3 linked regions of the Pelodiscus sinensis genome follow. The protein of the gene in region 2 purifies or fractionates together with the protein of the main gene of each other region. This does not show direct contact. Links are inferred from orthologs where the notes say so. Each region holds a gene or a part of one and is shown on either strand. Other genes may lie near its edges.

Evidence for each region.
Region 1: the proteins of KDM5A (region 2) and PHF12 purify together in Homo sapiens (affinity purification with mass spectrometry; 3 studies listed by BioGRID and IntAct, with this or other methods). This does not show direct contact. The link is inferred for Pelodiscus sinensis from reciprocal best matches to the Homo sapiens genes KDM5A and PHF12.
Region 3: the proteins of KDM5A (region 2) and SIN3B purify together in Homo sapiens (affinity purification with mass spectrometry; 4 studies listed by BioGRID and IntAct, with this or other methods). This does not show direct contact. The link is inferred for Pelodiscus sinensis from reciprocal best matches to the Homo sapiens genes KDM5A and SIN3B.

What each region holds. Positions count from the first base shown.
Region 1 is NC_134731.1:1,838,093-1,841,838, forward strand, and holds the start of PHF12 (PHD finger protein 12), read right to left. Parts: upstream 2,364-3,746; 5' UTR 1,965-2,363; coding exon 1,899-1,964; intron 1,818-1,898; coding exon 1,636-1,817; intron 1-1,635.
Region 2 is NC_134711.1:107,709,464-107,713,209, forward strand, and holds the start of KDM5A (lysine-specific demethylase 5A), read right to left. Parts: upstream 2,181-3,746; 5' UTR 2,093-2,180; coding exon 1,919-2,092; intron 1,888-1,918; exon of another isoform or gene 1,635-1,887; intron 1-1,634. UniProt on the Homo sapiens protein: Histone demethylase that specifically demethylates 'Lys-4' of histone H3, thereby playing a central role in histone code. Does not demethylate histone H3 'Lys-9', H3 'Lys-27', H3 'Lys-36', H3 'Lys-79' or H4 'Lys-20'.
Region 3 is NC_134729.1:30,806,454-30,810,199, forward strand, and holds the start of SIN3B (paired amphipathic helix protein Sin3b), read right to left. Parts: upstream 2,565-3,746; 5' UTR 2,504-2,564; coding exon 2,408-2,503; intron 2,378-2,407; exon of another isoform or gene 2,359-2,377; intron 1,825-2,358; coding exon 1,718-1,824; intron 1-1,717.

The sequences.
Region 1 (3,746 bases), on a different chromosome or scaffold from region 2:
GTCCTGTCAGTTGTGGGAAAGAGGTCACCTCACTAAAGTCTCTAAATTGAATAAAGTTACTATGGTTTCCCAATACAGATTAAAAAACTTGAAGCTTGTGACAAATTATGTCATGAAGTATGTGCATTAGATAATTTCTCTGTGACTATGTAATGGACGTGGACTGTTATGATCAATGTAGGGTTCAGACTCAACTGATTCACTCAGAGACCAGGTTTTACGTAGGTGAGAAACTATGTGAACCATTTTCCCTCCTGCCCCCGCCCCCGTCAATGTTTCTAGCAACTATCCTGCTTCAACAAACGAGACTCAAAACTGTATGGAGGGTTAACATTTTTAGACACGTCACTCAACTTTGTCAGGTTCTATTTATATCAACAGTACCCTAAATTACAACATTATCTTTTTTTGTGCTCAACTTCTAAGCCATATTTTACATAACAATCCTATCAAACAACAGCTCTTTGTAAGCTCCAAAGTTTGTCTCTCACCAAGAGAAGTTGACCCAATAAAAGATTACCTCACCCACCTTGTCTAATTAATAAACAGACAACCAAAAGCCCAAGGTGCTCTAGCAGGTTTTAAGTGCTCTATATAATAAAACTACCAGGGGAACTTCTTCCAGATACAAATGATGATATAATGGATAATTAAAAATAGAGCTTCCTGTCCTGGGTAGACTGGTCTACAAAATGGCAACAGGGCACTCCTTACAGAACCTGACTACACAGTTAATTTCCCCAGAATCAGTAATCACTGTAATAAGTCTCTTAAGACCTACAATTAGCATATAAAAAAGTAGAACCATTCACCTCAAGTCACAAGGAAACAATTGTAGCACAGCAGCAAGTAAAGATCGGAGGCAGGAAAGACAATAAGGAACGTGGTTAAAAATCTCTCTCCAAGGAAGACTATCTATTCCCCAGAACACCAGTGCTCCGGCTTGCCCTGCTCCCTCCCCCATCCCATTAGTCACTTCGGCTGTTTGAATTTCACAAGAACCACCAGTCTGAGTCAATTGCTGAACAGATGTAAGCAAATTTGCTTTCGATGCACCTGGGTTCCCCCACACAGAAACAAGAAATAACTTCTCAGGACAGAAACTGAAGTTCAGACAGCTCCTGACTCTGCTGATTTGCTTTTTTGTTATTAGCCTGTAAGGCTTAAGAAACACAGAGGGTTATTCCCCCCACCCCTGCCTCCTATAAGGGAGAGCTTCTTACCGCTATGCTCTAACGCACACAATTCCAGACAACCACAGAGGATTAGCAACAAGAGCACAAAACTCCAGGCAAGCGGTCCCTGAATTCGCATTGGTCACTCCTACAAGGCAGGAGGAAGGAAAAGGGACTAAAGGGGAGGGGGGGTGTCAGTTTTCAAGTTCAGAGCCCTGGATCCACGCTGGGCCGATCCATCCGTACGCAACAATACTCCAGTAACGGTGCCAGGCTCGGCAAGCCCTATAGGCAGCCAAAATGGCGCTGAGAATAAAAATATAATTTAAAGGAAGGTCGCCATATTGTAAACAGTGCGAGAGGCAGCAGCCTCCATTATTCCCGGCGGCGAGGCGCTCACGCAATGTCCGGCCCGTCCGAGAGGCAGCCCCCCGCCCGGCCGGCAGCGCGGCGGCCTTACCAGCACTGGAGGTGGAAGGCGGCCGGGCAGTGGTCGCAGCACAGCAGGTCCCCGCCTTCCTTGCAGCTATCGCAGCTGTCGTGGTTGGTGGCCCGGCCGCTGCGCCGCGCCTCCTTCTCGGGCCGCCGGCTCCGCTTCTCGCCCTCCTCGCTCTTGGGGGGCGCCAGCAGCGCCTGGATTTGCTGCGCGCAGAGAGGGGCCGTGAGGGGCTGGGCCGCACCCCCCCCGCCCGGCCCCCCCCGGCGCGCCCCCCGCCCCCTCACCTCCATCAGCCCCCCGGAGGTGTCCAGGTCGTACACGATCGTCTTGGCCTCCATCTTGCCCCACATGCAGCCGGCCCGGGCGGGGGGGGCCCGGCCCCTCAGCGGGGCCGCGGCGGCTCGTGGCGCGCGCGGCGGGGCGGGCGGCGCCTCAGGCCAGCGGCGGCGCGAGCGGGCGCGCGGAGGCCTGGCCCGGGGGGGGGGGGGGGGCGCTCGGCCTAGCCCACGGGCCGCTGCGGCTTCCCCGCCCTCCGCCTGCCGGGCCCGGGGGAGGCTGCGGGGGGCCCCGCGGCCGCTGCCATGCCGGGGGGGGGACGGGCTGGGCCTGCGCAGGGCTCCGGGCTCGGCTCCCTCCGCCTCTCACACACAGGAGCGCCGCGGCTTAGGGCCCCGCCAGCGCGCAGCCCGCGCAGGCGCAGCCCGGCCGGGCCCGGACACCTCGGCCGCGCAGGCGCCGCCCGGCCGGGCCAGAACACCGGCGCGCAGGCGCGGATCGGGCTCCGGAATCTCGCCGCCCCACGCGCAGGCGCAGACGCGCCGGGGCCGGACACCACCGCGCAGGCGCCTCCGAGGTGGCAGAGGCGCCTCCGAGCCGCCCAGGCGCGATGCAGTGTGACGCCATTCCCGCGCAGGCGCAGACCGGATTCTCCCGGCTTCCAGCCTAAACCCCTGCGCACACGCAGTGAGCGGCCCGGGCAGGAAGCCCCCCCCCTCCCCAAGCGCTATTCCCCCCTGCGCAAGCGCAGTTGAGACTGTTTAGGCATTCCGTGCACATGCGTAAATCCTTCTGTTGGGCCAGCTCGGCGCAGCGGTGGTGGCTGGGCTGCGCCGACAGGGGGCGCGCTCCGCAAAGGCCGGGCGGGCGCTGTGCTCGGCGCTGCACAGGGGCAGCCAGCCCCCAGGCAGCGCATCAGCTGGGCTCCCGCCTGGCCCGGGCATGGGCCCCCCTGGCACCCAGCCTCCGTCTCCCGAGGGGGTGGGGCGCCTGGCCCTGGCATGGGCCCCCCGGCACCCAGCCTCCGTCTCCCGAGGGGGGTGGGGCGCCTGGCCCTGGCATGGGCGCCCCTGGCACCCAGCCTCCGTCTCCCGAGGGGGGTGGGGCGCCTGGCCCTGGCATGGGCCCCCCTGGCACCCAGCCTCCGTCGCCCGAGGGGGGTGGGGCGCCTGGCCCTGGCATGGGCCCCCCTGGCACCCAGCCTCCGTCTCCCGAGGGGGGTGGGGCGCCTGGCCCTGGCATGGGCCCCCCGGCACCCAGCCTCCGTCTCCCGAGGGGGGTGGGGCGCCTGGCCCTGGCATGGGCCCCCCGGCACCCAGCCTCCGTCTCCCGAGGGGGGTGGGGCGCCTGGCCCTGGCATGGGCCCCCCGGCACCCAGCCTCCGTCTCCCGAGGGGGGTGGGGCGCCTGGCCCTGGCATGGGCCCCCCTGGCACCCAGCCTCCGTCTCCCGAGGGGGGTGGGGCGCCTGGCCCTGGCATGGGCCCCCCGGCACCCAGCGTCCGTCTCCCGAGGGGGGTGGGGCGCCTGGCCCTGGCATGGGCGCCCCTGGCACCCAGCCTCCGTCTCCCGAGGGGGGTGGGGCGCCTGGCCCTGGCATGGGCCCCCCTGGCACCCAGCCTCCATCGCCCGAGGGGGGTGGGGCGCCTGGCCCTGGCATGGGCCCCCCTGGCACCCAGCCTCCGTCTCCCGAGGGGGGTGGGGCGCCTGGCCCTGGCATGGGCCCCCCGGCACCCAGCCTCCGTCTCCCGAGGGGGGTGGGGCGCCTGGCCCTGGCATGGGCCCCCCGGCACCCAGCCTCCGTCTCCCGAGGGGGGTGGGGCGCCTGGCCCTGGCATGGGCCCCCCTGGCACCCAGC
Region 2 (3,746 bases):
GGAGTAAGGAAAAACTATTAAGATGCCTCAATAGAGAGCCCATGAAAGTAAAAATATCATAGCTTAAAATATTTAGATTGATATTACCCTTACATTAAGTTAGAGCATAAGAGGTTTTCATGGAGAGAACCATATGGCAAAATTACCATATTGTAGTGCTTTTATAAAAGGCCTGTAAAGCCCCAGATATTTCAAAATCTAACTAATAAATTTATTAATTTCAAATAAACCACAGCACTTGAGCCAAGGTTGCTGGCACATATGGACATGAAGGGAGCAAGACATGTACTAGAGATAAGAATACAAGCATAAGAAATGTAACCCTCAGAAATGGGGTCTTAGAGCATCTCAAGCCAAAATGTAAAACTGGCACACAAACACACTATGCAACCCAATTTTGTTACTCAAATTAGTTGTTAACTTCAAGGGAGCAAGATAAGTCTTCTAGTACTTTTAAAAAAAGATTTAAGAAGTTACACAGCCTATCTAAAATAAAATGATGATAAACTGACACTAAAATTGTTCATTATTTTTATTGCAGTAGCACTTAAAAGCCCCAATCAGAACTGTAAAATATTTACAATTTCAAATAAACAAGAGGAATAATGAATAAGTAAAGTTACAGTAAAGTGTTTCATCTAATTGATGCTGCGGATTTTAAACAACCAGACCAACTTGCAACGTAACCTGCTAATCAATCATACAAAGGCAAAACCAAGAGTTCAGTTGCAAAGAAATCCCAAGCTGTTTTTTCTGGCCAGAATCTTGAATGGTTTCTTCAGCCTTTTGGATTCCACAATCAAGCAAAAGTAATCTGCTTATTTTAGAAAAGGTAACTTCTCGGAGGTCAAGCTTTCACCATATTACAAAGCCAACTAAGCAGATTCCAGCAACTCGCAGAACAGAAGGAAAAAAGCCTGAGGAACACAAAATGTAAGCAACAGTTTCTACAACCTTCACTGCCACACCTTCGTGGGTTCTCCTCTCCTTTCTCAACCACTTCAATCTTTCATATTCACTATTTCTATTTTAAAGTTGATTTATTCTTGTCTGCACCTAAAAATTGTGTTTTAATTTGAAGTTGTTTGAAGTACATTCTACTGAGAAACTGCTGTATTTACCAGAAGCCTCTAGACTGCAGGACAAATTGTCATAAAATAATGCTGCAGGCAGAGTCTGGCTATTCTAACCTAATTTCGAGCCTTTTTTTTAAAAAAAAACACACAAATACCAATTTTCCTGTTGCAAACAGATCATTGACAATTCTTATAATACTCAGAAAATTATATTTAAGTAGAGTGGTATCAGAATGGAAAATCCTTCTTCCCCAAAAAGAACGAACTAGTTTTCATATGAACCATGTTGGCAAATTTAAGATCCAAACGAACAGTATGTTACAAAGTAACAGATCAGCAACCGAGCACATTTATTCACCAGTATTAATGCAGCCATAGTTTTTTAGGTTCAAGATAAACATACAAACTGCGTGTCCCTGACAAAGACACCATGGTTTACTGATCTGCTACCCGAAAAGGGCGACATAACCGGAAGGGCTTTAAACCTCAGCCATGGTTTTTTTTTTTCGGGGCGGAGAGGAAGGAGAACAGTTTTGCATCGTTATCAAACGCTCTTACTTCATGTGCTCTTTACACCCGACACAGCGGCGAAAGAAGCTCCCAAATATCCCCTGTGGCGCTGTCAGGCACCCAGATGTCGGATTAAGCCACGGCCGCGTCTGTGGCATCTCCCGGCCTCACGAAGCCGAGCTCCGAGAGCCGCCTCCAGAGGCTGAGCGAAGTCCCGGCCTGCAGGAAGGGCCCCTCACACCCACTAGGGAGAAAGCGCCTAGGAAACGGCACCCCGGGGTCACCTCAAGCCCCTTCTCCTGGGCGTGACCTGCCCCTCCCCCGTGCGGTACCTTGGGGGGTCGGATCTTGCAGATGCCGGTTTTCTCGGCCAGGCCGCGGATGCGGCCGATGAAGCCGAGCGGGTCGCTGAACTCCTCCCAGCTGGGCTCGAACACGGGGCACTCGGGCGGGGGCACGAACTCCGCCGCGTAGCGCGACCCGCCGCCACCGCCGCCCCCCGACATGGCGGCGCTCGGGGCCGCGGTGGGCACCGGCTCCGCAGGAACAGCCGGACCCGGGGGGGGAGGGGGGGGGGGGTTCGGGCTCCTTCGCCTCCGCTCCCCGGGGGGCGGGTCACAGCCGGGGGCTGGGGCGCATCCTACGGGCCCCGCTGCCGCCGGCTGGGCCGGGCTCTCAAGCGCCGCCGCGGCGGCTCCTCCCGTTTGTTTGTGTCTCCCCGTCGGGTTTTGTTGTGTGTGTGTGTTTTTTTTCCTCCTCCCTGAGTCTGACTCGGCCGGAAGTTACGTGTACGTAGAAAAGCCCTCTAGCGGAAGCGAAGAGCACAGTGCGCCTCCGCCTCCGCCCCGGAAAAGAGTCCCTGACCCTATCAGGACGCTCGGAAAACTTCCACCTCACCCCCCCAACCCCAGCCGGGCACGGAGGTCTGGACAAACCCAGCCCAGGGCCCGCTCCCTGCCCTAGAGACCGGCCACGGCAAGGCCGCAGCCACTTCCGACGCGGAGGAATGTGTGAAGCGGCTGGACGGATTCACTTCCGGTGCCGACATTCCATTTCCCCCATTGTCTGAGCGAATGCAAAGGAACGACTTGACCCCTCCCTCGGCGCATCACACCCCCTCGGCGCCCCGCCCCCACACGCCTATCCTCGGTCGTGCCGCCCAGAGCCCCGCCCGACGAGACTCCTCCCCCCGGGCAGCCGGCGTTCTCCTCCCTGGTCCTCTGGGTGGCCCGCGCCGCCCCCCTCCTCCCTCCCGCAGGCCGCCAGGCTCCTGTGCCCCCAGCCGCAGTGCTTTGTCTGCTGGGACTTTTACCTGCTTGGGATCATCCCAGGCCAGGCTGATTGGACAGAGCCACAATCTGGGGCCTGGAGTCTCGACGCACTTCTAGGCACAGCTGCCTTTTAGTTTTGCAAGCTGCGGGTGGGTGGGCTCCACCTGGTGCTGTTTGATTCCTGTCGGGTCTTGTGCCCAGCCCCTTACCACATGCCTTCAAGCAGATCCCACTCATACTTCGGTCTCAGCTGTCTGTTTTTTAGCACAATCCACCTCTAAGAAGAGCTCCTTTTGGCTCCTCTAAATCCAGGATTTCACAGTCTGCCCTCAAGGGGACTGGCTTTTACATTCTAGCCTTCCTAGCTTCCAACTTGTCTCCTCTTAAATTCAGATCTTTCACAGCTGCTCCACCCCTCCTTCGTGAACCCTAGTCTTACCTTCTGCAGTTCTCTTTTTGGCTGGGCACTGAAGGTGAACTTTTCCTTAGCAACTAGCTTCAGTGGCTCTTTCTGTGACCGGACTTGGACCCTCTTTTTTGAGTCACCTGCAACCCCAATCACCTGACCATTCTTTGACCCTTCCTGTGGTTTGTGTACCCTGCCCCTTGCAAAAGGCATCCAAGCAGCTCCCACTCATACTCACCAATCCACTAGAATTCTTTCATGGGGTCAACAAGCATGTGCACAAGGGGGATCCAGTGGATGGAATGCATTGAGATTTCCAGAAACCCTTTGACAAGGTCACTCACCAAAGGCTCTTAAGCAAAGTAAGCTATCGTGGGATAAGAGGGAAAGGCCTCTCATGGATTGATAACTGGTTAAAATAAGGAAATAAAGGGTAAGAACAAATAGTCCGTTTTCAAAATGGAGAAAGGTAATTAGTGGTGT
Region 3 (3,746 bases), on a different chromosome or scaffold from region 2:
TTCTGTTTATGGGACAAGACAGAGACTTGAGGATGTGGATTAGCTGAAGGGGATGTTCTTCCCTATACATCTGGTGTTTTGGGTGCTACAAAATCTCGCTTTTTCACCCCCTTTTTAGGTTCTGATTCCCTGAGTGAGTGAGCTGAGATATACAAGACTTATTGTCTACCTGAAATTAGGGCTGATGAATGGTGTTGATATATTTCAGAGGGGTAGCCATGCTAGTCTGTTTCAACAAAAACAAGGAGTCCAGTGGCATTTTAAAGACTAACACATTTATTAAGATATTAGGGCATGTGATGGATAGGAGTGCTGGCCAGCACCTGAGATTAAGCGGTTAAGCTCAGGTAACTAGCAAGGTTGTTGGCAGGAGGCCAGAAGAACCAAAGGGGATACAGTGCTAACATTTGAATTGTATTTAGATATCTTGCCTCTGCTCTCTTTGTGGGAAAATTCTAGGTTAGGTTTGGAGAAAGTAGATGCAATAATTAGAATTACCATGCCTATAAAAAAAATATTGGACATAGGAGTGAACTGGGCCTGGAAGCGCAGATCAGCACAGATCATAAGTAGAGGGAAAATATGTATTTAGTTGTAATCAGTTTTTTTTTTTAATTTTGGCTGTTTAGTTAAACTTGTGTGAATCTATGCCTTCCCTCCCACACTCACCATTTAAATTACTGCCTGAAGAACTATGATTCTTTGTGTTTTTTATATGTTTTCTTAGTTGCTCCGTAACACCTAGCAACCAAGTATGCTTTATCAAGTATATCTTTGCATTTGTTAATAAAATCATCTTTTTTAAAGAGATGATTTGATTTGTGTGTCCTGGAAGATAACAGCAGCTCTATGCATGTGTGCCCAGGCTTGGAGGTCAGCTATCATAAGAACATAAGGACAGCCATACTGAGTCAGACCAAATGTCCATGTAGCCCAGTATCCTGTTTACCAACAGTAGCTAATACCAGATGCCCCAGAGGGATAGAACACAACAGAGAATCATCACTGTTTCTTTTTCTGTACTTTTTGCTTCTTTTCTCAAGCTCTCTTATGGCAAAAGAGCTAAGGGTACTCCTGGGGAAAGAATTCAAGTATTCCTTCCTGTTTTTTCAGAGTTAAATCACTTTATGGTGTCAGTTACCCCACAAAGTCAGTAAATCTGTGACGGGGGAGTTTTTGTAAGCAGAGCTTATAGAGGCAGGTATTTAAAGTCCCTTGAGAGCCCCCATCTTCTGTACTCAGAGTGCCAGAGCGGGGAATAGCCCTGACAGAGCATAACAGAGCTTATGCTCTAATACCCTAATGAATTTAAAGAGCCACCAGATTCCTTGTTGGTTTTGGTGTTGATATGGGCGCTTTAGAAGGGGATTTTGGACCCTCTGTGGTAAGGGAAAATGGACCCTTTTCCATCTGGAATTTAACTCTTCAATAATCTAATAGAACTGAGGAAACATGCTTCTTGCATGAGCTTGGAAGGTCTGAGGATCAGATTCCGCTAATGGTATGCTGAAAATGAGCACGGAGGCAGGGGAGTACTGCACGATATTTTGTGTGGGGATGAACAGTGGGGGGGGTTCTAAAGTTGGGTGCTGGCACTATGGTCTGGGGTTCTCTAAGAAAAGTACTAGGAGCAGGGGAATATGCTAGAGCAAAATGGGATATCTGAGAGGAAGAGCACTATAGCAGTGGCTACTGGATGGGTTGGAATTCACCTTACCTCTGGCTCTTGAACTCCTTCATGATCTCTAAGAAGCCATTGTAGGTGGCAGGATCACTGCCAAACCGAATCTTCACCTGGTCCAGGTAGGAAAGTGCATCCTCCACCTGCAGGGGAGCGGGAGGTAGTTGGGACTGAGCCAAGGTGGAGGGCAGAATGCAAGGCCACTTATAGTCTGAGGGCCCACGGGGAAGATTAATGGGCTTGCAGAGAGATGGGGGTTAGGGATGTAAAACCCCACTGGATCGGTTAAAAGTTAGATTTAACTGATTTACTGAGTAAGTGGGGTCCCAGGCAGGGGACTCCTCCAGCCTGGCTCCAAAGGGTCCAAGCTCAGGCGGAGGCGGCAGCCTGGGGTGGAGCAGTCTGCTGCAAGCTCCCAGGCGACAGTTACCTTGTCACATCCCTAGTGGAGGCTCGCCGAAGAGGGAGGGAGGTCAGGCCCAAGGGGGGGCGGGGGGGCGCTTGAGTGGACACAGGGGCTATCCTGGGTGAAGTGCGGGGGGAGGAAGAGGGGCCATGCGGGGTATTCTCCCCGAGGGGAGGGGCGCTGTGTGGGAGAGCGCAGGGGTTAGCCTGGATGCAGCGCGGGCGGGGCCCGGGGGGAGGGGCGCCAGGGGTCGCGGCAGGCCCGGGGCTACCTCTTGTGGAATGGGCCGGGGCGGGGCTGGGGGAGAACCCCGCACTCACGTGCACTGGCAGTTTCTCCTGCGCGGCGGCCCGGCCCCCGCCCCATCTGGGGCCACTGCCCCCCCGGCCGCCGCCGCCGCCTCCCCCCGCCGCCATGATGGGAGTCGGGCACCGGGTAGAGACTCCCCCTCCGCATCAGCACGCTGCGAGCGTCTTGCGTCACCGCGCGCGCGCGCACGGGCCGCTCAAGAGGAGGCGGGGCCAGGGTTCGCAGGGACGGCGCGCGCGCGCGTGTTTCGCGCGACGACTTGTTCCGCGGCCCGCGCTGGTTTGCCGCCTGAGGTAGCTTCCGGTGCGTGCCGGCTGCTGGCTCCGCCCTCGAGTGGGGCAGCCTGACAGCGACAATCCTCGTGCCCTGCCTGGACAGCTGCCGCTCGTCCTCACTGCCCGCGGGGTAGGACGCTACCAGCGCTGCGGATCCCGAGCGAGCGGGGCAGAGTCGGCGGAAGTGGCCGAAAGGAGCCGCCGCCGGGCGGTGATTGCCAAGTAGCTACCGCAGGGACCGGTCAGCGTCGGGCCCGTGGACAAGGCACCAAGCGAGTCACACTGGTCAAGGGACGGGGAAGGCAGCAAGAAGATCATTTGAATGCCGTAGGAGGAAAAAATGCAGGACTATGTAGCACTTTACACACTAACAAGATGGTTTATTAGGTGAGGAGCTTTCGTGGGCCAGACCCACTTCCTCAGATCAAATAGTGGAAGAAAATAGTCACAACCATAGATACCAAAGGATACAGTTAAAAACATGAACACACATGAAAAGGACAAATCACATTTGTCTACATTTCTATCACTATAGGCGAAAAAGTGAGACCTTGAATGTCCAATTAAGAAGATTGTGAACAGTGTACTACTCATGAATGGGATGAAATTACTAAAGGGAGAAGTACAAGTCCTGGTAAAGAAGAAAGAAATTGGTGAAGTACAGGTGGGAGATAGTGAAAAACAGTCCAACATAAGAGTTCTATTTAAATATACTGCATGGGGGCTGCCTCTGAATATTGACAGCATGTTCAAGTTATATGTGAGTACTGGAAGTCTAAATATTAATATGGGTGAGCTAGAGTGCTTGACATTAAATGAGGATATGGATATCGTAGTCCTCATGAAAAATTAGCGGCATGAGGATGATCAGTGGGATGGGGTGATGCTATCCAGGAAAATATAAAGGAATGAGAAAATAGGTTGTACTCGTGGTACTAAATGTGAAAGAAAGCAATAGCATCAAATAAAGTAAAACTCTTAAATGAATCAAATAGTACCTTAGAATCTCAATAGATATAAATTCTGTGCTTGAACTATGAATGTATAGCAGTTTGAGTACAGTACCAACCACCAA